5 linked regions of the Oryzias latipes genome follow. Each later gene encodes a partner of the first gene's protein in a complex. Links are inferred from orthologs where the notes say so. Each region holds a gene or a part of one and is shown in the gene's direction. Other genes may lie near its edges. The genes, in order: kras, rgl1, mapkap1, sos1 and ral guanine nucleotide dissociation stimulator-like 2.

What was found.
Region 2: the proteins of kras (region 1) and rgl1 are in contact, whole or in part, in a crystal structure (PDB 7SCX), measured with the Homo sapiens proteins. The link is inferred for Oryzias latipes from reciprocal best matches to the Homo sapiens genes KRAS and RGL1. Residues at the interface, in NP_001356715.1 of Homo sapiens: Ile24, Gln25, Glu31, Asp33, Pro34, Thr35, Ile36, Glu37, Asp38, Ser39, Tyr40, Arg41, Leu56, Tyr64, Met67; in NP_001284600.1 of Homo sapiens: Ile651, Arg653, Asn660, Gly661, Asn662, Met663, Tyr664, Lys665, Ser666, Ile667, Met668, Lys685, Asn687.
Region 3: the proteins of kras (region 1) and mapkap1 are in contact, whole or in part, in a crystal structure (PDB 7LC1), measured with the Homo sapiens proteins. The link is inferred for Oryzias latipes from reciprocal best matches to the Homo sapiens genes KRAS and MAPKAP1. Residues at the interface, in NP_001356715.1 of Homo sapiens: Ile21, His27, Val29, Glu31, Asp33, Pro34, Ile36, Glu37, Asp38, Ser39, Tyr40, Arg41, Leu56, Glu62, Glu63, Tyr64, Ser65, Ala66, Met67, Asp69, Gln70; in NP_001006618.1 of Homo sapiens: Phe280, His287, Gly288, Phe289, Ser290, Leu291, Ile292, Gln293, Lys307, Lys310, Arg311, Arg312, Lys313, Gly314, Ser315, Phe363, Glu365, Ile369, Val374, Met377, Leu378, Ser380, His381, Tyr484, Glu487, Ser488.
Region 4: the proteins of kras (region 1) and sos1 are in contact, whole or in part, in a crystal structure (PDB 8BE4), measured with the Homo sapiens proteins. The link is inferred for Oryzias latipes from reciprocal best matches to the Homo sapiens genes KRAS and SOS1. Residues at the interface, in NP_001356715.1 of Homo sapiens: Ser17, Ala18, Ile21, Gln25, Asp30, Glu31, Tyr32, Pro34, Thr35, Glu37, Tyr40, Asp54, Ile55, Leu56, Asp57, Thr58, Ala59, Gly60, Gln61, Glu63, Tyr64, Ser65, Ala66, Met67, Arg68, Asp69, Gln70, Tyr71, Arg73, His95; in NP_005624.2 of Homo sapiens: Lys602, Trp809, Thr810, Lys814, Leu822, Met824, Ile825, Arg826, Thr828, Thr829, Thr832, Leu833, Leu872, Val875, Ser876, Asn879, Ser880, Ser881, Pro882, Tyr884, Ser908, Asp910, His911, Tyr912, Lys913, Phe929, Phe930, Gly931, Ile932, Leu934.
Region 5: the proteins of kras (region 1) and ral guanine nucleotide dissociation stimulator-like 2 are in contact, whole or in part, in a crystal structure (PDB 8B69), measured with the Homo sapiens proteins. The link is inferred for Oryzias latipes from reciprocal best matches to the Homo sapiens genes KRAS and RGL2. Residues at the interface, in NP_001356715.1 of Homo sapiens: Ile24, Gln25, His27, Val29, Glu31, Asp33, Pro34, Thr35, Ile36, Glu37, Asp38, Ser39, Tyr40, Arg41, Lys42, Tyr64; in NP_004752.1 of Homo sapiens: Ile651, Arg653, Glu660, Asp661, Gly662, Ser663, Val664, Tyr665, Lys666, Ser667, Ile668, Leu669, Lys685, Lys686, Asn688, Arg689.

Annotation. Positions count from the first base shown.
Region 1 is NC_019864.2:21,724,940-21,729,503, forward strand, and holds the start of kras (GTPase KRas), read left to right. Parts: upstream 1-1,689; coding exon 1,690-1,800; intron 1,801-3,043; coding exon 3,044-3,222; intron 3,223-3,445; coding exon 3,446-3,605; intron 3,606-4,564. UniProt on the Homo sapiens protein: Ras proteins bind GDP/GTP and possess intrinsic GTPase activity. Plays an important role in the regulation of cell proliferation.
Region 2 is NC_019862.2:29,177,910-29,182,259, reverse strand, and holds the start of rgl1 (ral guanine nucleotide dissociation stimulator-like 1), read left to right. Parts: upstream 1-1,471; 5' UTR 1,472-1,677; coding exon 1,678-1,842; intron 1,843-4,350. UniProt on the Homo sapiens protein: Probable guanine nucleotide exchange factor.
Region 3 is NC_019870.2:25,040,081-25,044,733, forward strand, and holds the start of mapkap1 (target of rapamycin complex 2 subunit MAPKAP1), read left to right. Parts: upstream 1-1,796; 5' UTR 1,797-1,982; intron 1,983-4,653. UniProt on the Homo sapiens protein: Component of the mechanistic target of rapamycin complex 2 (mTORC2), which transduces signals from growth factors to pathways involved in proliferation, cytoskeletal organization, lipogenesis and anabolic output.
Region 4 is NC_019859.2:117,168-121,682, reverse strand, and holds the start of sos1 (son of sevenless homolog 1), read left to right. Parts: upstream 1-1,607; 5' UTR 1,608-2,062; coding exon 2,063-2,149; intron 2,150-3,420; coding exon 3,421-3,546; intron 3,547-3,851; coding exon 3,852-3,983; intron 3,984-4,192; coding exon 4,193-4,357; intron 4,358-4,515. Other genes in the region: tmem178a (transmembrane protein 178A), read left to right, coding at 303-544.
Region 5 is NC_019874.2:28,742,423-28,746,317, reverse strand, and holds part of ral guanine nucleotide dissociation stimulator-like 2, read left to right. Parts: intron 1-864; coding exon 865-968; intron 969-2,012; coding exon 2,013-2,097; intron 2,098-3,891; coding exon 3,892-3,895. UniProt on the Homo sapiens protein: Probable guanine nucleotide exchange factor. Putative effector of Ras and/or Rap. Associates with the GTP-bound form of Rap 1A and H-Ras in vitro.

The DNA of each region.
Region 1 (4,564 bases):
GACAACATTGCAGTAGGAGTGTTAAATTTGGCCCAAACTACGCCCAGTCGTTAACCTACAGTGTGGCCCTGCACTGCAGATTTATGCTAGCTTGCCTCCTTCAAAATGTGCAACCTTTTAACTTTGCATTAAATTTAACTGTTGTCCTCCAGGGTTTAGTACAAACAAGGCAAAACTAACGAGTCACTTTCATTAAAACACACTACTTTGTTTCATTAAAGCGAATAAAAACCAACTTTTGGGGCTGCTTGAAAGCTCCGGTGCTAATGCGGCTAACAGCACAGCCGTTAGTCTTATGCTAGCAGGTTTTCCTCATACGGGATAAGGATTTAATTGACATTTTAATGTAACATTTTTTTTTAATTTAGACATAACGTGGCTGTCCCGACCTGCTTCAACAAAACCAAAATACACAAAAGTTTAGTTGAAAAGCCGCGTCCGCTTCATACGGGTATCAATCTTTAACGCTAGGCTAATATTTGTATAGGTGCTAATCAATCTCCATTAATCCCATCATTGTGTTAGCGGTGAATTTGAGTGCTTTTTCTTTCCGCGTTGGGTTTGAATTAAATATACCCCTAACAAAAGATTGTACACAATTTTGTGACTTCCCAGGATGGGATTTCAGAATCCACAGCGTTTGATTTGTCTTCCTGTTCAAACACAAACCTTCAAAGGACAAACACTACTATCGACTGCTTTTGCCTCCTTTAAACTAAGGAAGAAAAATGGCATAACCCATACCCCCTCTACTTTAAATATAAAAATATAAAATAAATACAATAATTAGTTAACAAAAAAAAGCCTAATTTATTTCTTAAAAGTTTCTAAAATGAAACTTACATTTTCCTCTAATTTATAGCTAGTTTCACAAAGTTTGAACCGGCTTTAAAAACGTGGTGTTCCTACATAGCTTTCCTTTTTTTTTTTTTTGACTCTTTCAGCCACGGTAATCTTAGTTGTGGAAGCAGTATTTAGTGCATCTCTTCTATGGCTTTGAGGAGTTTGTATTGTAGTCTTTGAAAAGGCCAGCTGCCAGTATTGATAGATGCTGCTCCACAAAAGTCAGACAGCAGAGAGCCTCCCTGTTGCTTGTCAATTTTACAGCCTTAATGTAATGTCATAGATTTCTGCCTGGAGCTAGGTTCTGTTGTCTGATTATCACTCAGAAAATAGCCCTGAATGTGTTGCTGGACTCAGACCTTTGATTTGAACTGAAAAACTATCTATTTTTTACTTCTCAAAGCTCACCACCTGCTTATTTCAGGTCACTTTTCTATAGAAGTTCTGTTTTGTTTTACCTTTTTCTATAATGATGAGTTTTAATATACATGCTTAGCATTTTATGACAGCTAGTCTTTAAATTTAAGGTTCATATGTTGGTTTTGTTTAGATTAAACAACAAACTGTATTTTGTGATTGCATTTTTTCAAACTTTCTGGGACATTTGGATTTTTACTGCATTGCAGCTGTCAATTTACAGGTTTCCTTTAGCAAGAGATGATCAGATGACTGTCCCCTAAAACTGTCTGCAAATTATTAGAAGTATGAGAAAAGAAACCAAAATTGACAATAACAATGAAACCAAGTGTCATAATTTTGAGACGTGCATCATTTGCCATTAAGGGTTCCGCTGAATTGGGGATGTACTACTTGATGATGTTCTTACTTTGGTCCCTCAGGTGAATCATGACGGAATATAAGCTGGTTGTGGTTGGAGCTGGTGGTGTTGGCAAGAGCGCGCTTACCATTCAGCTCATCCAAAACCATTTTGTGGATGAATATGACCCCACCATTGAGGTAAAGGAACATTGTGTATGGATACACAAATTGACAGTGCATTAGCAATAAAACTTGTGTAAAAAAAAGAAAAAGCAAAGAGTTGTAACAGGTTCTACTAGTTTAACTATTAAAAGACACCAAACGGGTTTTCTAATGGCTTCACACTTGGCTTCTTGCACAGTTTCTTAGAGCCAACTGATTTAGTATGAACAGTTTAATTTAGAGTTCTTTTAATTTGAATTATTTTTATTGACATGCATTTTTTAGGTCAGACAAACTCCATGTTAACTCGGATAAAAAGAGCAGCGCTACTGTTCTTTTTATCCAGGTTAACATGGAGTTTGTCTGACCTAAAAAATGCATGTCAATAAAAATAATTCAAATTAAAAGAACTCTAAATTAAACTGTTCATACTAAATCACTCCATGTTAACTCCATGTTAACCTCGATAAAAAGAACAGTAGCGCTGCTCTTTTTAGCTATTTTCATCTGTGCGATTTAAAAAAAAAAAGAAAAGTGAAGCACCGAGTGGGACTTCAGTGTAACTTGAGGCCTGCTGCAAAATTGATCAGAAAGGGACAATAATTGAGTGGAGTCCAGTTTCAACTTTGAAGACACGACAAAATAATCATCAATGCAGGCCTGCTTAAGTGGTACAATTATGTTAAGATTCTAAGCTACATGACAATCATTTCAGCAGAAAAAACTATGAATTATGAAACAAAGCCATTGAGTTTCTTAAACTATGTCACATTTTTTGTATATTCAATTTTATTCACATTTAAATTCTTGGCCATTTTTTCTCCCTTCAACATAGTGAAAAGGGAAAAATTGCACTGGTGTTTTTTTTTCCTACTAAAAAGAAAAGATTTTTAGAACTTTGTAGTTACTTCCTTGTTCGCCTTTTATCCAAATTATGTCAGACCAAAACATTTTTGCCTTTTTTGTTTGTAATTTTTTTTCTTCAAATAAAATGTATTACTACTGACTGACTATTTATATCTTTATTTCACCATCTAAAATTAAAAGTGATCACTTTTGCCTAGTATTGTGAAACTACATTTGAATATACTTGTATATTTATCATCACTTCTGTTTTTTTATAAATATTTGGTGACTCCCCAGTTTGTGTACATTTTTGCAAAATGGCGAAACAATTTTTATATTCTAAAGTACTCTAAGCATAAAAACAACTTTTTTTTGTTTACTTGACTCACTTTTCTACAGAGTTCTGATCATTTGAAACTTATTTCTTGTTCAGGACTCCTACAGAAAACAGGTAGTAATTGATGGAGAGACGTGTCTGCTGGACATCCTGGACACTGCAGGTCAGGAGGAGTACAGCGCCATGAGGGATCAGTACATGAGGACAGGGGAAGGCTTCCTCTGTGTTTTTGCTATCAACAACACCAAGTCTTTTGAAGACATTCACCACTATAGGTGAGCTGAAAGACAAGCTGGCAGGCAGTAGTCTTCCAGAACTGTTGTCATTTTTTTCTTCAAAATAAAAATGTGTCCATTTGTAAGTAATTATTTTAGCACAAAAATAAAACATTCATCACCGAACAAAGGTGATCTGTGGTCTGATTTGAATCTATTTATGTGTGGAATTTGGAATAATTTGGTTGATGGTTAAACAAAGTTCATGTGTTTGACTGTCCAGAGAACAGATTAAGCGGGTGAAGGACTCTGAGGACGTCCCCATGGTGTTGGTGGGAAACAAGTGTGACCTCCCGACCCGGACGGTGGACACCAAGCAGGCTCAGGACTTGGCACGCAGCTTTGGCATTCCCTTTATTGAAACCTCTGCCAAAACCAGACAGGTAAGTCTGCCCTCGGCTCCATGCAACATGTTTTTTTTAAATAATAAAATGTTATTTCAGAAAAAAAACTAGGATATTGTAATTTAGAAAAGTGTCTTTTAAAAATTTCGAATGAATTGAAGATAAGTGATTGAATCACGTTTCTGCTGATTTGTGTCACATTCACTGTCTCTAATGGCCCTTTTTATCATAATGTTGGAGGGAAATGTCCCTGCTAATGTATTGAGCCTCATTAAATCATCTCTCTTTAATTGAATTTTTATTTATGTGAGGTAAGGTAATCACTGCATGCTGCTACGTCATGAAATGACGAATTGACATTGTCAGTTGGGCCCACCTGAAACCATCCTTGTAAATAATCTGCAAATCGGTTCAAATCAGGGGTCTGCATGAAAGGGCAAACTGTCAGTAATTTCTGAGAGGTTTGATTCTTCAGCGAGCTGGTCACTGTTTGTGGGTGTTGGAAGATTAGCTGTGGTGTTGCATCCTGTGGTGGGTGTCGTGATCGTTGCCTTTGCCATTAGATGGGCTCATGGAGTGATCTGTGAACGTGTTCATCCTGGTCTGTGAGCTGCAGCCAAACAGCACTTTTTCTGGTGTGGGGAAATGATTGGTGCCGTGACTAATTCCTGGCAGCTTTGTTCACCTATTCCCTCTTGAGTGTCCCGTACCTTTTGTTCATACGGTTTCGCTCCTGTCTGATTGCAACTTTACTTTTGTTGGGAGTCAATTGCCCCCCCCTCAAATGTTTATTTTTTTTCCTCTGACTTCTGTGGAAAATCCTGAATGCATGCACCCTTAATTTGTGTCCAGTTTGAATAAAGTGATATTCCACCCAGTTGTTAATCTCCTGCAGGCTTGGAATGTGACTCTGATTTTTAAGGAGGCGCCAACTGCAGCCTAAACACAATAACTGTGTTTATTTTACTGCTTTATCAACCAACTGCTGTCTGTTACAC
Region 2 (4,350 bases), on another chromosome or scaffold:
ACAGTTGGCACTTCCACGAACTAAAAATGACGCTACGAATGAACACGGAGCCTGAAGCGGGCACATGTGCACGTTTCCGCAGACTTTTCATTGGATGTGGTCGCTTGAACACCTGTTAACGTGGGCGGTGGGAATGTAGCATAGCACCTATGTGCATAGCACCAGCAGGCTCCTTACACAGGGTTCAAGGGGGTTAAATGAAAAAGAAAAATTGGTACGACTCACCTGCGTCACCCACAGCATGCCCATAGAAAAATGTGCATGAACATTATCTTCCTACGGGTTGGCAGAGCGGTCCACCACCTTGATATTTCCTGCGGACCACCTACCTGCCCCCCAGCAGGTTTGACTCTTTCACATCCGCAGAGAGCCCGTAAGCACAGTTGTTACTAAAATTTTAAGTTACCATGTGTACAGCTGATTGTCCCTCAATCATAAAATACTTTTTAAACAAACAGAGTAGTTTTTCTTTCCTCTTTGCTATTTTCATACTTCCACCTGAATAACGAGAGAGAATTTCCCGTTCCCTCTGAGATCTGAAACTAAATCTTTACATCTATCAGTCAGTTCTGGATAGTTTTATACATTTTCATCCAGACTAAATAAATCTAAACTTTTTGGTGTTTGGGTTGATTATTTCTGAAATTACTTGTTTCTAAAACAAAATTGTAATGGGAAGGAAACTTGTGTCTTTTTCTGGTTGTGTTTGAGTGAAGCACTGCCTGCCTCCGGGTAATCCTCTTCTCTTAGTTTTATACGTGACTTCTCCTTAGAAGACACACACACCCACTCCACACACACACACACACACACACACACACACACAGCAGTTAATTTTGAACACGCTGCGACAAAAGTTGCTTATTACAGTTAAAAAAATCCTGCAAAAGAAGTCAACATCCTGTTTTATTTGGTGAATAAGAAGCCAGCAGAAAAACACTGAAGCCTCTTTTCAGACTGCTATATGATGTTTAACACACACACACACACCCACACTAACTGACCTTCAGCACAATAAACAGTTTTATGCTTTTTGATCTTTGTGCTGCTATAGGAAAACAAAAGGATCTCATGTCTTTTTGACTGATTTAATTCAGAATCGCAGTAAACTGCATGCGACAAAGTTCATAAATGCTGTGAACTCAGCCTGAACACGTCCAAAACTCACACAGGCTGAAGACAATCCTGTTCTAAGACTGTTTTTTGTTTTGTCTTTAGATTATTTTTAAAAAGTTTTCTTTTTTTGGCCCAAATCTTCCCCCAATGATTGATAGAGAAAACCTGCTTTTTTTATGTAATTCTTCGAAGCTCTCCAGCGACATCCCTTCAGGTTTATCAGCCTTCCTGTCTTTCTTTCTTTCTTTCTTCTTGCCCTTCTCCTTGGTCACCCTTTAAAGTGGGGCGTTTGCCGCCCACTTGTAGCTCCTCCCCCTCTGCCTGTGATGGATGTGAGGAGAGGAAGACAGACAATAGGCTGAAATCACTCCTGCTTCAGGGCTGCTGGAGAGCTGATCTCCAGGCTTTCTGAGAGGACAGAGGGAGGAGGGGGGGGGCATGTTTTTGAGAAGACAGGAGGACCACAACATCTGACTGGAAGACCAACAGAAGACATCTGAACTGAAATCCAGATTGGAGCATGGCGTTCCCCCTCCCCAGCCTCTGACGCAGGCAGCCAGCATGATCTCCCAGTACCCTCTGGCCACCCTCCTGCCCTGGGCTGCAAGCCCCCAGCACCACCAAGCCCACCCCGACCTGGACTGCACTTTACTGCTGGAGGGGGAGGGGGGGGTTGCCCTGCAGAGCTTCCAGCCCCGCTACCCGGAGAGCAGCCCACAGCACTGGGTCAGTACTGCATGTCATGGAGCCGCTGAGCTTCCAGAATCTTTACAGAACCTGGCAGGTGTTCTGGTTTTCATCATCGCTGTGTCTGAAATGAAAGGTTTTGCGAAAAGAAAAACAGAATGCCAAAAGAAGCTGGAAATGATAAACCCTTTACAGATACGCAGCGAGGAGGAATGATGGGGGGGCGTTGGTCGCCCCCCTTCAAGGTCAGTTTGTTGGCTGTTCTCACAGATAACATGAAAGAGAGGGTCAGAGAGAAGAAACAGAATCAGTTTGACATGAGAAGAATCTCAGAAATGAACAAACTGCTGCGAAACAAAGAGAAACCTGTTCAGTCAGTCAGCTGTGATTTTTTTTTGGTTTTAGTGTGAAAGGGTCTACAGGTAATTCTTTTCATAGGTCTTTCAGAGTAAACTATATCTATAGATGTGATAATGTAATACTTTGGCTAGAAACATTTTTTTTATAAAGTATTAATTATTTTCCCAGCTCATTGTCCTACCCAGAAGTAAGACGACTCGATCTCTGAAGCTCCGCCTCTCGCTCCTTGTGGATTCAGCCCATTTCATGACATCATACCAAAGCCGGCCTCAGCAGCGTGTCTGCGTTTCGCCCACAAAAACAAACAAATCTGAACTTTTGCAAAGACGTATGTGCATATTGTGCATAGAAAATTAAAGCGTTTAACTGATCACCGCTAGCTCCACGGAGAAAGAGGTTGGGTGTGTGTTAGCCTAGAGGCGGGGCTGGCAGCGCAGACTCTTCCTGGTAGGGGCTGTTCTTCACTTTGTGACATCACAATGTGAGAACCCGCTTGTTTTTGTGGATTGGGAGGGGCTGGTGCTCAGAGACCAGGATTTTAGAGGCATACTCAGAAATGCGTGAATGGATCAAAAATACTGCTTTGAGGTTGATTTTTGTGAGGAATGAACATTATTAAAAAAACGATCTTTACACCCTCAATGAAGTCTTGAGCAAGTGATGAGTCAAAGACTTACAGTAACCTTTGTGTGTGTGCTGTCTGACTAGAGTTCACACAAAGGGTGGCTTGTGTAACACTTGAAGCGTCAGTGTTGCTGTTTATGTCCCTTTATGCATGCTCACTTGTGGCTCTAACGTAAAAGGATTAATGTCCATAAAGGAAAATCGTCGGCCATTTCCACGCTTTTCCTCCCTGCAAAAACATAAAGCTGGTTTTCTGCAACTTCAGTGTGTTTGCTGGAAGACTCTAATCAGATCAAAGACTGATGAAGAGTGGGGAGTGATTGGATTTTGAGGCGTGAAAACATCTGAGTTTTCTCTTTTTGTTCAATCAAAAATGATGGTCGACATGAACATTTTCTGTCTCAGTACTTGTGGTTTTGAAGGTCAACGTTTCTTTGCCTCAAAGGTTTTCTTGATCAGGTTCAGAATGTCTGTAGACGGAGCTCCTGCTGGCTCATCTCATGTCTTTGGTTCGAATCTGGCTTCAAAATCGCAGTGGCCCTGTACTGGCAAAGTTACTTCTATCTCCATTTTCCTCAGCATGTTTTCCGATCATACTTTAGTATAAACAGTTCCGACCTCTGAAGCAGTTAGACGACAAGCTGCATGGATTTAGACAAAAATGAAATGTTGGACATCAAATGACCAGTCTCTACTGAACGCTTGGGTCAACTTCCCACCGTTTGTCCTGCTTTTAATCTTCCTCTGTGCACTGCCGCATTTCATTACGCACATTTTGTAGCCCTAATGTGTGAGACAGAAAGCTTTGAACTCTTCCATACCTGAGATGTTGCAGGATGACATGCCGCCACTCAGGGTTGGCCAACTCTGGTCCTCAAGAGCCACATCTTTGCCTTTTTTCCAGCTCTCCCTGCACTGCTTGCTGCTAAAAACCTAAACCAGGTGAGTTCAGTCAATCAGGATGTGAAACTTCTTGAGTAAGCCAATCAGCAGCAAGCTAGTCAGGGAAAAGAGGAAAACAAGCAGGGTAGAGGCTCTTGAGGACCAGGGTTGTCCAGCCAGACCCAGATTCAGCCAGCACCACTGCGACTGTTCTTCTGAAACATGGGATCACTGTCACACTGTGACGTGGGTTCGGGTCTGGATGGTCGTCCTCCTCGCTGCCCATCAGACAGCCGGGTCGGAGCCTCAGCCCATCTCACAGCACCATTTCCTGCCATTGTCCCCCCCACCAACACACACTCTGGACATTTAGTTAACGTGCAGCAGCTCCGCCGGTCCCGCCTTGTGCCTGTTTTTACTGTGCTGACTTGAAGTTGTTTTCTGAGGGGTCAACAAGGTGATTATATGGAGTAAAGGCCTTCCATAAAAGTTATATAAGAGAAACCAGAGTAAACAAAACTGTTGGGCTCACATAAACCTTCCTTATGAGGTTTTTATTTGCAAGAGCAGCTCCCAAACTCCTGGTCTTTGTCAAATCTGACAGTCCTCATCTTCTTGCATCATTTACTTTATTGGCCCACACAAACGTGGAGTGGGTGTTGCTCTGCAACCTGCAGAATT
Region 3 (4,653 bases), on another chromosome or scaffold:
AGTGATGGTCCAGGCTGCTCCTCGCTATGCGACATAAAGCTAAAGCTAACGGGTGGATCAGAATTAGACAAGCACCGCCTAACAGTTCACGGCAGGCAGTGAGCAGCCCGGGTACCTGAAGTCTTTTTAAACCACGTTCCGTCTTTACAAAACACCTCCGTGTCAAAAAAAACCGCAACATTAGTTTGGAGACGCAGAATATCTGTTAGCAAGCACAGTTAGCTTACAAGCTGAAGCTGAGGAGCTAGTACTTACCCCGCGAGGCAATACGCAGAACGGACCGCTCACCTCGAGTTTCCCCGCGTGCTTTGGCTGGTTTTCAAAACATGTTGCCGCCCTGAAACCAACAGAGTGATCCTGAACTTTAGCTGAAGTGTTAATATTTACATGGTGTGTTTCCGGTTTCGTGTAGCTAAACCCAGAGCGAGGGCCCACAGCGAGATCCGCTGCTGACCGCAGATAGCTCCGCCCCCTCCCACCGACTGCTACGATGCTCTTCAGTGGACGCCTCGCAGAAAACCTTCCACTTTACAGGCTCCGATTCATTTGTTCTATGGTTTATAAGGGGGACGCAGACAAATGAGGAAAAAGAAATTCAGGAACAAAACACAGCGCAGAATAGGGATGCTTTAAAACTCATTTTACCACGTGGTTTCATCATTAAAGCGGATTGTGGAGAAAGCATTTTTGCATCCTCAAAGCAAACCATACTGTGGGGCTGAAAAGGTTCAAGCCAATGATAATTGTGTTTGGTTTTAACGTGTTCTTTTAACATTTCTCTGATGATTGAGGAAATGTATAGAGAACATTTAGCTCAAAACTGCATTTTTTTGTATTTCTTTATTCAAATTGTTGTGAATCAGGAGCAGACGAAAAAGTTCTGTTAGGTAATGTTTGCAATGTGGTTACATAAATATACTTTTATGTTTGTGTATATATATATCCAGACAAATACCAGTAGATCCAATTTTTTTACTGTAAGATTGGATAAAGGCACAGGCAGTGGGGGGCAATGCCCCCCTAAATACAGTGACTGCCCCCTAAATGTGATGGGCCACAAAAATCCACAAATAACTACAGGAATAAAAAAATAAAACAACTACAAGTCAAAAAAATGTAAGTATTTATGTATATGGAAGGACACACAGGCAAAGATACATAAAAAGAAAAAGGGTAGTGGTAGAGGGTGGTCTTCTTCAAACTGCTCCTGATTCCAAACAATTTGAATAAATAAACACTCAGAAATGCCATTTTAAGCTGAATTTTCATTATGGATGTCCTCTATCATCAGAAAAATGAGAACATGAACATGTCAAAAACATGTTCTTGTGGCAAAAAATAAGAATTTCACCAGAGTGGGTCTTTAAAGAGAGAGATGGAAATCTGTTGACAGGTTCCACAAGTGTAATGGAAAGATGGAAGAACTTTGAAGATCTCAAAAATATCCATGTAAATAGAAAAGGTTCTTGCAAATTTTTGCTGCGATAATTCTTTTTACTCATGATCGCACGATTTTGCAGCCACATTTCTATTTCATGTGATGATACTTTGAACTTGCAAAAGCATAATTTTATCTTGCTCTGGCATCTCTCTCTCTTTTTTAACTTTTCTTTATTTTTTCACTTTCTAGTGTGAAGTGCATTTGGATGTGTGCACAACATTTTGTAAACGCTGAAATACTAGTAAGGAATAAAGGTGCATATAATTCAGTGTTCCTTTACTTTCACTGCCTCGGTCAGTGAACTGCTCTTGTGCGTGTTTTTCGTTTGGTGGCTCTTTTATTGTGAAGAGATTACACCGGAAGTCAAAAGGATGTCTTCCTGGTTGCACGAGCGCAGCAGATTGCATTGGCTTTCGGTTGTTTTGAGACTTTAATGCATTGAATTGTTTTTCACGGATGTAACGACTCGTCGGCCAAATAAGTAGACTGGATGAGATGGAGGGACGTGGACTCTGCTGTGTCTCGTCAGAAAAACGTAGAGGTGGGATCTTCTTTCTGTTCATACCACTGCTATTGCTAACTGACTCGGGAGAGATAATCGTTAGCTTGAGTTTAGTCACCGCTAACCGACTGTAATGCGATCTGTAAGCTGTTCCTGTCATGTTACACGCTTATAAAGTATGAATCACTTCAGTCTGTAGATCCTCCTGCTACTTTTTGGAGCAGCTGAAATGGATTTTGTTGTAATTCAGCTGGTTTAAGTGAGCCATTTTGGTTAGGAAAACAAGGTGCTGCTAACGCAAAACATGATGATGATCTGATAAATGTACACAGAACTTTTTAATCCGATTGTTTAACTTCTACCTTCTTAAAATGATAAACTCCGACACAAATTTGTATTTACTGACATGTGGTGTTTGTTTCAGTTGTGTCGTGTGTTTTACACGAGCGTGTTTTTCCTGTGAGAACTTTCCCCAGATAAGACTGTGTCCTCAGCTGAAATGACCGTCAGACATCATTTACAGCTGTTACAGTGGGAACTGTTACGTCATCACAGTGATTTCTGTGCTCATAATCCGTTTTCTTGATGGTGAAGTGTTCTTCTCAGCTGCCCATGCGCTCAGCGCCGTCATCTGCCTGTTGTAGCTGTCAACATCCGTGTTTAGACTAAACACTGTGAACAAACTTCGTGTTTTCAGATGTGACACGACTTCTGATTCTTCAAAAAAAAAAAAGTTAGCGTTGTGCCCAAACACTAAAAAACACTGGCATTTGTCTGATGATAGAGGACATATATAAAGAAAATTAGGCTCAAAACTGTATTTCTGAGTATTTCTGTGTTCACGTAGTTGTGAATCAGGAGCAGACAAAGAAATGCTGTTAGAAAAAGCTTGTTGTAACTGAAGCTACTGCAGAAAGCCACAAGCTTCCTGCCCCTCCTCATTCTAATGCATCCACTCATGGACAACTTGTTCCATGTACATCTTTGTTTTCCCTGTCTGAGCTGGAATCTGGATCAAAACTGTATGGCTGGACAGCGCCAATATTGCTCACCATTTTTATCGCAGTGCTCATGTTAAGGCCCGTACACACCGGGACGAATATTCGCCAGGCGTTATTCGCCAGCGTTTTTCGCCACGTTTTTTGTGTTCACACCCAGGCGATTTCCACTGACGATGAGCCGAGCGAACATGCAATTTCCTTCCCTGACATTAGATGGCGCTTAATGTAAACAGAAATACTCCTGTACACAAGGTGGCGCTGCGCAACTTTACGCTTATTAAAGTCGCTTTTCACTCAGAAGAAGAGAGCAAGTATTTACGCGCTTGTCAGAATCAAACAAAGAAAACATGAATATTTCAAGCACCAGTTGCTCCAACTGGTGCTTGGTTCGGGGATATTTTAGAATGTCCGTCATTATTTCTTCGCAGCAGTGTAGACGCTACTTGGCGTCTATCTTCTTCGCTGGTATGTGTGCTCAGCAAGGCAGTTTTGTGTTTGAGCGCCCCCAAGTTGTGTTTTACTGTAACTTCAGAAGCTCCAGACATGTGTGCAAAAGCGCCATTCTCATTGGTCGAATAGATTTCGACGCGACGCGTCGAAAAAAAAAAAACGAACCCGAGGCGTTTTTTTTTTTGACGCTTTGACGCCTGGCGTTTTTTCGCGTCGGTGTGCACACTCCCATTGGTGCCCTTTGTTTAGTCACGAGGCGTTAAACGTCGGCGAAAATCGCCAGCGAAATTCGTCCCGGTGTGAACGGGCCTTTAGGTTGGCGTTGTTAGAGGCTCTAAGCTAGTTGGAGAGACTGTAAACAGATTGGTGACGGGAAGTGGTGGTGGGCTAGCTATGTGCCACTGGTCAACTCAGAGAATCTCTAATGAACTCCTGCTGCTCTGCAGAAACCATGCCATAGAAAACTACACATAAAACAGCATAAACATAAAGAAAGACTTCTGAGAATGCTTTTTGCAATAGATCAAAAGATGATAGGAGCGGGACTTCAACATCAATATTGAAAATAACCAAAAAAACATGGTTCAAATACATTTTGGCAATTGACTGTATAAGAGAACTGGACTTGCCGACCCCTCCCCCTGGTGTTCCTAACAGGAAGTACGCGCTGGCCCCAAGAAGCCAAAATCCTATAGACTTCTATATAGAAATAAACAGCTGTTAATCAGTCATTCTGTTGGTCAGAATAACCATTCTTGCTCCGATACCTTTTTTGAACATGTTCTTGATAATCCTATTTTTTCTAATAATATTTTTTCTTTAGTACAAGCTAATCATGTTATAAACTGACCAATCATGGGTCTCAATAAAAGCGTGTGGCCTCATGTTCAAAGATTGATTAACAGATTTTGTGCAGTCCGCTTTAAGTGGTAGGGGTGTGGCCTTTCAACAAGCTCTCTCTGGATTTGTGAGAGTGGTTGCCATAACAATGTTGACTCTGATTGTCTTAGACCAATCACTCCTTGCTAACATTGTCTGACTCCCAACCTGGCGACGTCCACATTGCAAAAAATGGTGACTGAAGTTACTTCAATTGGTTGGAACCAGAAGTAAGCCAATTTTCTGTGAGTGACGTCACACTTACTCTGTCCAGTTCTCATATTCAGTCAATGAGTTGGATTGACCCACGCATTTCATAGTTCTAAACAAAAAGAAAATCTATATTCACAAACATTTTTCAAAACAAAACAAATATGTTC
Region 4 (4,515 bases), on another chromosome or scaffold:
GAGGCCGACTCTAAGATGATGTCACGAAATGGGCGGCACCCACAAGGAGTGAAAGGCGGAGCCTCAGAGATTGAGTTGTCTTTCTTCTGGATTGGAAAATAACTAACATTTCATAAAATATAGTTCTTTATTGTGCCAAAGGTAATATATGATGATATGGATCTAGTTTACTCTGAACAGCTTCAGAAAAGCAGGACAAGGCCTTTTGAAAAAGTACGTTTCTCCGGAGTAACTTTTTAAGTGTCCAGACTTTCGTCTGGTTTTTTGTCCTTGCTCTGATCTTCTCTCTCGTCTGTCTTCAGGCATTTTCTGCACCATCTCCTTATGTACCTATGCGGCCAGCGTGACCTATGACCTCTCCAGAAACCCCCCCTTCATCTACGGTCTGCCTGGAGATGTGGATCATGGGTACGGTTGGTCCATCTACTTCGCCTGGACAAGTCTGGGTCTGACCGTGGCTGCCGGCTGCCTTGCTACCACCTTCCCCTTCCTGAACCGGGCCCGAGCTCTGAGGTCCAAAACTGCACGGGAATCTTCTGTGTGAGCTGTTGGTGATCAGCAGGACACCGGACTCCGAGACGTGGTCCAGACTGGGCTGCAGAGGTTTTATTTACACTGGCTTCTGGACTCTTGCTGAGGGAGAACCTCAAGAGGACTCATACCTCTGCTGCAAAGCTTCTGTGGAGCATGGCGCCCCCTTCTGGGTGTCTTCGATAGGAACAGTGTTTGTAGTGTCAGAGGAACCGCCGTCCGACCCGGCTTGGACGGGTCTTACAGTGTCTGTTAGCCAGTGACCGTTTCTCATTGTGAAATTATGTATTTTGGCTGACCCCCCCCCCCTGCGGTTTTTACACAGGTGTGATCACAGGTGAAGATCTGGTGAGTTTGAATCTTGAGGGGCGGGTTCAGGTCCGATGATGGAGCCTCCTCTCTGACTGCATGGAGGCGCAGTTTTTGGCTCCAGATGAGCCCAGATCCATTTCAGCCCCCCCATCAGGCCACAGACAGGTGGGAGACACATGGGGGGGGGGGGGGGGTCGTGATCCCCATGTCCGGTCCATTGAAAAGTCAGCAGAACTTAGATGTGTCCAAACCTTTTTCACTCAACAGCACCAGATTTTTGTAAAGGTGATCAAGACACCTCCTTAGTGCAGGTAAGAAGGTCCGAACAGGGCCCCCCATACCACTTAACCTGACCCCCACCCACACACCACTTGACCCCCCCCCATTTGTAAATAAAATACTTGAAGCCCACCTGATCTCAGAGTGGTTTCTTCTCATTGGTACGGAGTCCCTCAGTTGGTTCTGGTTCTGAGTGTTGAATCTTCAAATCAGACTCCACTCTGGAACTTTGAAGCTAATGGGGGCGGAGGGGGGTTGTTACGACCCCCCCGACCCAGATCAAGGTCAGTCCTGGTTCCGGTTCTGTTTCTAACCTTCAAAAACGTACATCAGGACAGAGTTTATTATTTGAGTTCTGACCTGCACGTGCTCCTATGTTCCGGTGGTCCGATTCCCATCAGATCAGTTTGATTCTCCGCTCTACAGCAGCCCCGCCCCTGAACGTCAGCAACTACCCACTGCGCATGCTCACTATCTCGCCATGTTCGGTTCGGTCCTCCGGAGCGCTGCAGCCGTCAGCAGGTGACCGTCCGACCTTCCGGTTCGGATCCTGGTTGAGACAGACCGGGTGTCACGCGGCCCCCACCCGCAGGCGCCGCACTGGAGCCCCCCCCCCCAGCCGCAACGGTGACATGACAGCCGCGGCGCGCCGTTTGCTCCGCTGACCCCCCCCTCCGCGCCCAGTAACCGACGCAGAGACCCCCTCCCTCCCGCCGCCGGCGAGCCTGTGCTGGGAGCGCGCAGCCCGGGAGCGCGCAGCAAGCCATGCCCTCCGCCCGGTCCAGCTAGCTCCTAGCCGCGGAGCTAACGGTTAGCCGAGGATGGTGGCGGCGGTCCCGGCGGATCCCGGACGTCGTGAGGCCCCCGGCTTCAGCCGCGCAGCTGGACCCGCAAAGCCGCGCACAGAATTCACGCCAAACGGAGCCGCGTGCGTGTGAGCATGCAGACGGGCCAGCTGCAGTTCGATTTCTGCAGCGAGGACAACGCTCCGCGGTGGAGAGGCCTGCTGGTGCCCTCCCTGGAGAAGGTAGGTGCGCACGCACGCACGCACGCACGTAGGCGGCTGCTGCAGCCAGGTGTGGCCCTGCAGGTAAGCCGGGCCGTTCCGTGACAGGACGGCTGACGTCAGATGGGGGCAGCGGGGTCTGCCTGCTCCCCGGAGGCTACAGGTTCTGGACTCTTCCAGCTCACCTGGACCACTTCAGTCCCGATCCGACCTGAACCACTTCAGTCCCGATCGGACCTGGACCACTTCAGTCCCGATCCGACCTGGACCACTTCAGTCCCGATCCGACCTGGACCACTTCAGTCCCGATCCGACCTGGACCACTTCAGTCCCGATCCGACCTGGACCACTTCAGTCCCGATCCGACCTGGACTGATGTGGTTCTCTTGTGATTTAGAAGATCAACACTCTGCAAATCTGTTCCTCACTGTCCCAGAGTTCTTTGTTGGACCTCCAAAGTTGTGGGTTGGACCGGGTAGAAGCGCTCCAGGTGGCTGACCTCTGACCCTCTGGATCCATGTTTCATAAGTTCTGCTCACCATCAGAACCTCTGACCGCTGTCATCAGGCCCGCGTCCTGAGAGATCCATTTAATGATGGCAGAGTCCAGCTGGTAGGCAGAAACTACAACAGGAACTCAAAGAATGATGACAGGTTTCTGACCCACAACACGGTCTACCACCATGTGGACCTGGTTTGTAACGCTCATGGTTTCTGTGTTGGTTCTGGTTCTACTGCCAGCGGTGCATCAGGTGGAAATGTGGGAGGTTGGATGGACTGAGGTCTCCTGGGTTCAGATGATGTTCTATTGGGTCAGGACAGATGTTTGGACTCCTGCATGTATTAATTTAATGGGATTTAAAACCCAAAAGGTTAAATTATGATTAAACGACTTTAAAACTGGACTAAAATAACTGTTTGTGATCATCAGCTGTGGTTCTGGACGGGAACATTTCCAGAGAAGGTCTTCTTAGCTGCATGAAAGGAGCAGCAGGTCTGGTCTTTACCTGGTTCCTGTGGGACCAGCATGCAGACCTGAACCCGGTGTAGAGTCTGACCGTCGCCCATAAGTGGGTTTCGGCCTGTTGGTGAACATAAATTAAAAAAAAGAAACACAGAAGAAGCTAAAACCAACAGAAACTCAGAGAGAAAGGTGTCTTTCTGTCCTCCTCCACTGGGGGGCAGCACATATCCATGAGGCCTGTGTTTCTGCTTGTTCTGATCAAACCTGCTCTGTCATTTCGTTTTGTTTAATTATTGATCAAACGTTGTGTGTGTGGCTGCACGCTGCAGGTACTGAACCAGGTACACCCCAACCTGAAGTCCCAGCAGGAGGCGCTGCAGTACATCGAAGAGCTGATCCTGCTGCTGCTCAGCATGTTGTGTCAGGCCCAGCCTCGCACAGTGCAGGACGTGGAGGTGACGCACACGTGCACACATGCACAGATACACGCATGCACACATACACAGATACACACATGCACAGAAATACATGTGCACACAAACACACGTGCACACCTGCACCCATCCACACGTGCACACGTTTGCCGTGGCCACATGCATGTTCCACCAACAAGCCCTTGAAATCTCCACCAATGATTCAGACCTACAGGCTTAGGGATGCTGAAACCTGGAAACAAACCCTCTTACCTTTAGTCACCTAAGTGAGGTCAAGCCTGCAGGTCAGGTCACTTGGTCCTCACACCTTCTGTCGGTTGTCTTAGGAGAGGGTCCAGAAGAGTTTTCCTTATCCTATCGACAAGTGGGCGATTGCAGATGCTCAGGCGGCCATCGAGAAAAGGAAGAGAAGGAACCCTCTGTCTCTGCCGGTTGATAAGATCCATCCCCTGCTGAAGGTAACCGTCCTGTCAGTGTTTTCTCCATCCTCCGCTCTTGTCCATGTTTATCAGTAACTCTGACTCTCAGACAGAATCGTCTTCAGGAAGAAGCTTTGCTGTTGGCTTCCACAGAGTAGAAAGTTTGGGGAAGCGGGCCGCGGTTTGGAGCACTGAAAAGATCTCAGGACTTTTGCATCTCTCTGTCTCCCATCATGCATTGTGTTCAGGAGGTTCTGGGCTATAAGATTGAGCACCAGGTGTCCGTGTACATGGTAGCTGTGTTGGAGTACATCTCTGCTGACATCCTAAAACTTGCAGGAAACTATGTAAGAAATATCCGCCACTATGACATCACCAAGCAGGACATCACTGTGGCCATGTGTGCGGACAAGGTACATTCTAACCCCCCACGCCGTTCTAGAAACACCTGACGAACGCTGAGAATACTTTGAGACTCCTGAAAATGTGTGTTTGTGTGTGTTGGTATGTGTGTGATTGTATGTGTGTTTTATGTGTGTCTGTGTGCGTGTATGTTGGTATGCGTGTGTGT
Region 5 (3,895 bases), on another chromosome or scaffold:
TTCCAATGTTGCTCGCCATTTTTGTTGCACCCCTGATGTTATGTTGGGGGTGTGAGGTGCTGTGAGCTAGTGGTAGAGCATCTAAACAGATGGGTAATAGAAAGGGGGGGGCAGGGCTAACTTCACGCCAACAGTATCGTCCACAACTCAGAGATTAATTTCTAATGAGCTCTTGCTGCTCTGCAGAAACTATGTCCTGGAAAGCGACAATTTAATTTCCTTATATTTTGGCAAAAAACTTCATAACCATAATGAAAAGACCATTGGGAACGCTTTGAAAACAGATCAAAAGATGATCGAAGTGGGACTTTATGACCATAAATAGACTTTTACGCTGAAAAATCCCTTGTGTGTTTGAAATACTTTTTCTATGGAATGAAACTCTATTAATTCATTATTTATGATGGGCTGGGGAAAGAAGGTGTACTTATTTAGGTTCTCCTTCTTTAAATGTGTAAAACTTTTCATTTTGTTTTTTTATTTTCCTTTTTTCTTTTCATGGGAAATTTTGTGGGAATTGAACTCCCTTTCTGGCACACAAAAGATGTTTTCATTCCATGTTTCCCGATCTGTAGTCACACTAAGGGAACTCTAACTCTAAGGGGCATTTATGATATACGAGCTGTGTGCAAACAAAGTGTTTGGCTCAGCTTTCGGCGTTATGTCAGAGCGATGACAGTGCAAACACACACACAGACTCTGGGTTTCTGTCTGCAGGGTATCTCTGGTCAAACTGTGGTTTGTTGGCTCACTGCTGGTTTCTCATTGGTTTCCTCGCCATTCCATCCTCATCCAACAGAGGAAGGAGCGTCTGTGTTTGTTCATGCAAACGCCTGTTCATGCGTGTGTTTGTGCTTCCAACAGGAGTGCAGAGCCAGGAAGAACTTCTCCTCGCTGTACGCCGTCGTTTCGGCGCTGAAGAGTAACCCCATCCACCGGCTGAGGAGAACGTGGCACGACACCGACAGGTGTGGGACGTAGTTCTGTCAAGTCAGAGAGGCAGAAGCAGACTAATCTAACAAATGAAAAAGCGAGAAACTGATGATCAATAGCTCTGCAGCGAGATGTTAGGACAGGGCGGTCCACTTGGAAATTGAGCTTTTTCTCTCATTCTTCAGGCCTCAGTTTGCATGTTAGCCAAATTCCCTTTAAATGTTTAAAGCTGAAACACTTCCAACAGCTGTTTCAGAATGGGGAGGACTTTGTTTTTCTTCCCAACTTCAGAGTCATGGGTTGATTTGGTTCAAAATTAATGAAAACAATTCCATAAAACAATAATCTAAGGTTCTTTTAATTCCATTTTAAGATCTGCCAAGTCTTTTATTCTGAAAATACAGCAAGATAACTTTTAAAATAAAAGATTAAAATCATAAATGGATCAAATAGAAGAAGGTAAAATTAATAATATTTTACATTTACTGATGAACTTTAAGAAACATTGTGTTATTCAGTCTTATTATTGTGTTACTTCTTACAGTAACTTAAGCTACAGATAAATGTCCTTTTAATATCTCAGTTAAATTTCAAATAAGTTAAACTGGGTTATTTAAAAGTATATTTTTCTAGTGATTAATGGTTATAATATATTAGTTTGCACATGCAGTGACATTGCATCATTTCGGCTGGAAAAAGTAGAAATACTTTCGTAAAAATTAAACAAATAAAAGAAATGCAAATAAAAATGTACTTTTTAATGTTTTTATTTTAAATTAAATAAGGTCAAACTGTTAAAAATGAATTGAAAAGGGGTTTTATTAATGTATTAGAGGAAAATTTCAAATGTGTCAAAAATCCGATTTTAAAATGGACTAAAAATAATTCAAAGTTAAAAGTATTTAATGACAGAAGGAGTTATAACAAAAGTTTTCCGTCCTTTTTTTCCATGTGAAAGTGTGATAGATTGATCCTTGCTATTGTACTTTTCATTTCTCCTGGTGCAGATCGCCTTTACGTCATCTGTACATCTAAACGAAGCGGGAATCTAATTGAACCCTTGACCTTTTCCTTCACAGAGAGGCCTTGAGGAGATACGAGGAGCTGGCAGAGATTTTCTCCGACAAGGACAACTACTCACAGACGCGGGAGCTGCTGAAGGAGGTGAGCTGTGCTGCAGATAAGGAAGGAGCGGAATGAATAGGGCTTTGTGTTTTCCGGGTGAGGTGAGCGGACGTGGGGCGACGTCACGAGGTCACGGGGCGTTCAGAGGTGAGCTGGTTCACTCGGAAAGCGGAGCTCACGTGCTTGAGGTTTGATGCCAGGCGTCCATGATGGTGTTTGTGCATCTCCTGTTATGGGACGGCGGGTGAAGTCATTCAGAGCCTCTGCTGGGAGGGGAAAGCTGCCAGTTTGAGCACCCTGACCGTGTTTGGGAGTCGGGTTTCAAAAGCTCTTTTGTTTTCTGACGTCTCTGCAGCTGTTGGCAGCTCGTGTGCCCCCTGCAGGGCTTCAACAGGCCTCAGAGATGCTTTCTCCTGATAAGCTGCAGATTCGTGTTTTGGGTTTTAACTCGCATAACTTGTGGTCAAGTCCACGTGGGAAACCGGCAGACAACCGTCTCCCACTATGTTTGCCAGTAAACGTTGCAAAGCCGCTGCAGGGAAAGCCAAGGACTCAACTAAGTCAACAGAAGTCTTCCTGCGGACGTTCTGTTTTCCTCATTTGTCAGTCCTGACTGAAGCTTTAGACCCCAAATCTCCTCCAAAGCCTTTCCCTGCAGGAACATCTGATCAGGTTCTGACAGCATGATCATCTCACCTGCAGTCGGAGTCATTTAAGACCTCAGCTGCTTGATCAGGAATCCGGTCGGTGCGTTAAAGGGCTTTAAAGAGCAGAAAACAGCTGATGCTCCGATTCTGTCAGCACTTTCACTTCCGCCAGACGTCCGTTTGAAGAAACGCTATATTTAGTCTGCTCTGACTTTGGGAAGCTGCTACGGTTAGTTTGATTAGCTGTGGTGGTGAAGTTTCACCCCCCCCAGAAGAGTCCATGCAAACGTTTACTGTCTTTTCTTCTGAAAAAGTCCACAGCTTTTGGGTGGAGCTTTGATTTCTCTGCTACATCTTTCATGTCTGAGCTTTTTTTTTTTAAAGTGGCAGACAGTTATGAACCGGATCCTTTGGGATGTAAAAAAAGAACAAAACTTGACTAAAAAAAACTTTGTGTGATCAAATCTGTAGAATATGGGGGGTGTCTGAGGTCAGTTAAGAGGAAAAAGAGACAAAAATGATCGACGGTGTGATGCATTTACTGACCTCTGCACATTTACATACAGTACACACAAACACACACGTCCACACACACCTAAACACACTCACATACGCACAAATGTACTTATCCACACACTTCTAAAGACACTTACATCCACACATATACACACTAACATACACACCCACATACACACTTATGTACGCACAAACACACACGTCCATGCACACCTAAACACTAGCACATACACACAAGCACACACTCAAGAAACAAAACATACACATTTACACACTCACCCATCCATCTATCCATCTTCTTCCGCTCATCCGGACCGGGTCTCAGTCTCAGTAAAGCTGCCCAGACTTCCCTCTCCCCAGCCACTTCCTCCAGCTCCTTTTTTTTTTTTTGGGGGGGGGGGGGGGGGGGGGGGCAAAACGTTCCCAGTCCCAGGCCAGCCAAGAGACGTAGTTTAAATCTGCAGTTCTGCTCTCGCAGTGAATGTGTGACTATGAATATCACTGACCAGGTGGGGCGGGTTGAAATGTTGCAGCAAATGTGTTTTTCCTTCTTCTGTCTTTTTTTATCTGCATTAACAGAGCTTCTTGCTCTTAAATCAGAACCAAAAAGCACTGATGGAGATCTTGAGATCAGATCAAACATGTTCCACTTTTATTGTGTGTCTTTCAGGAGG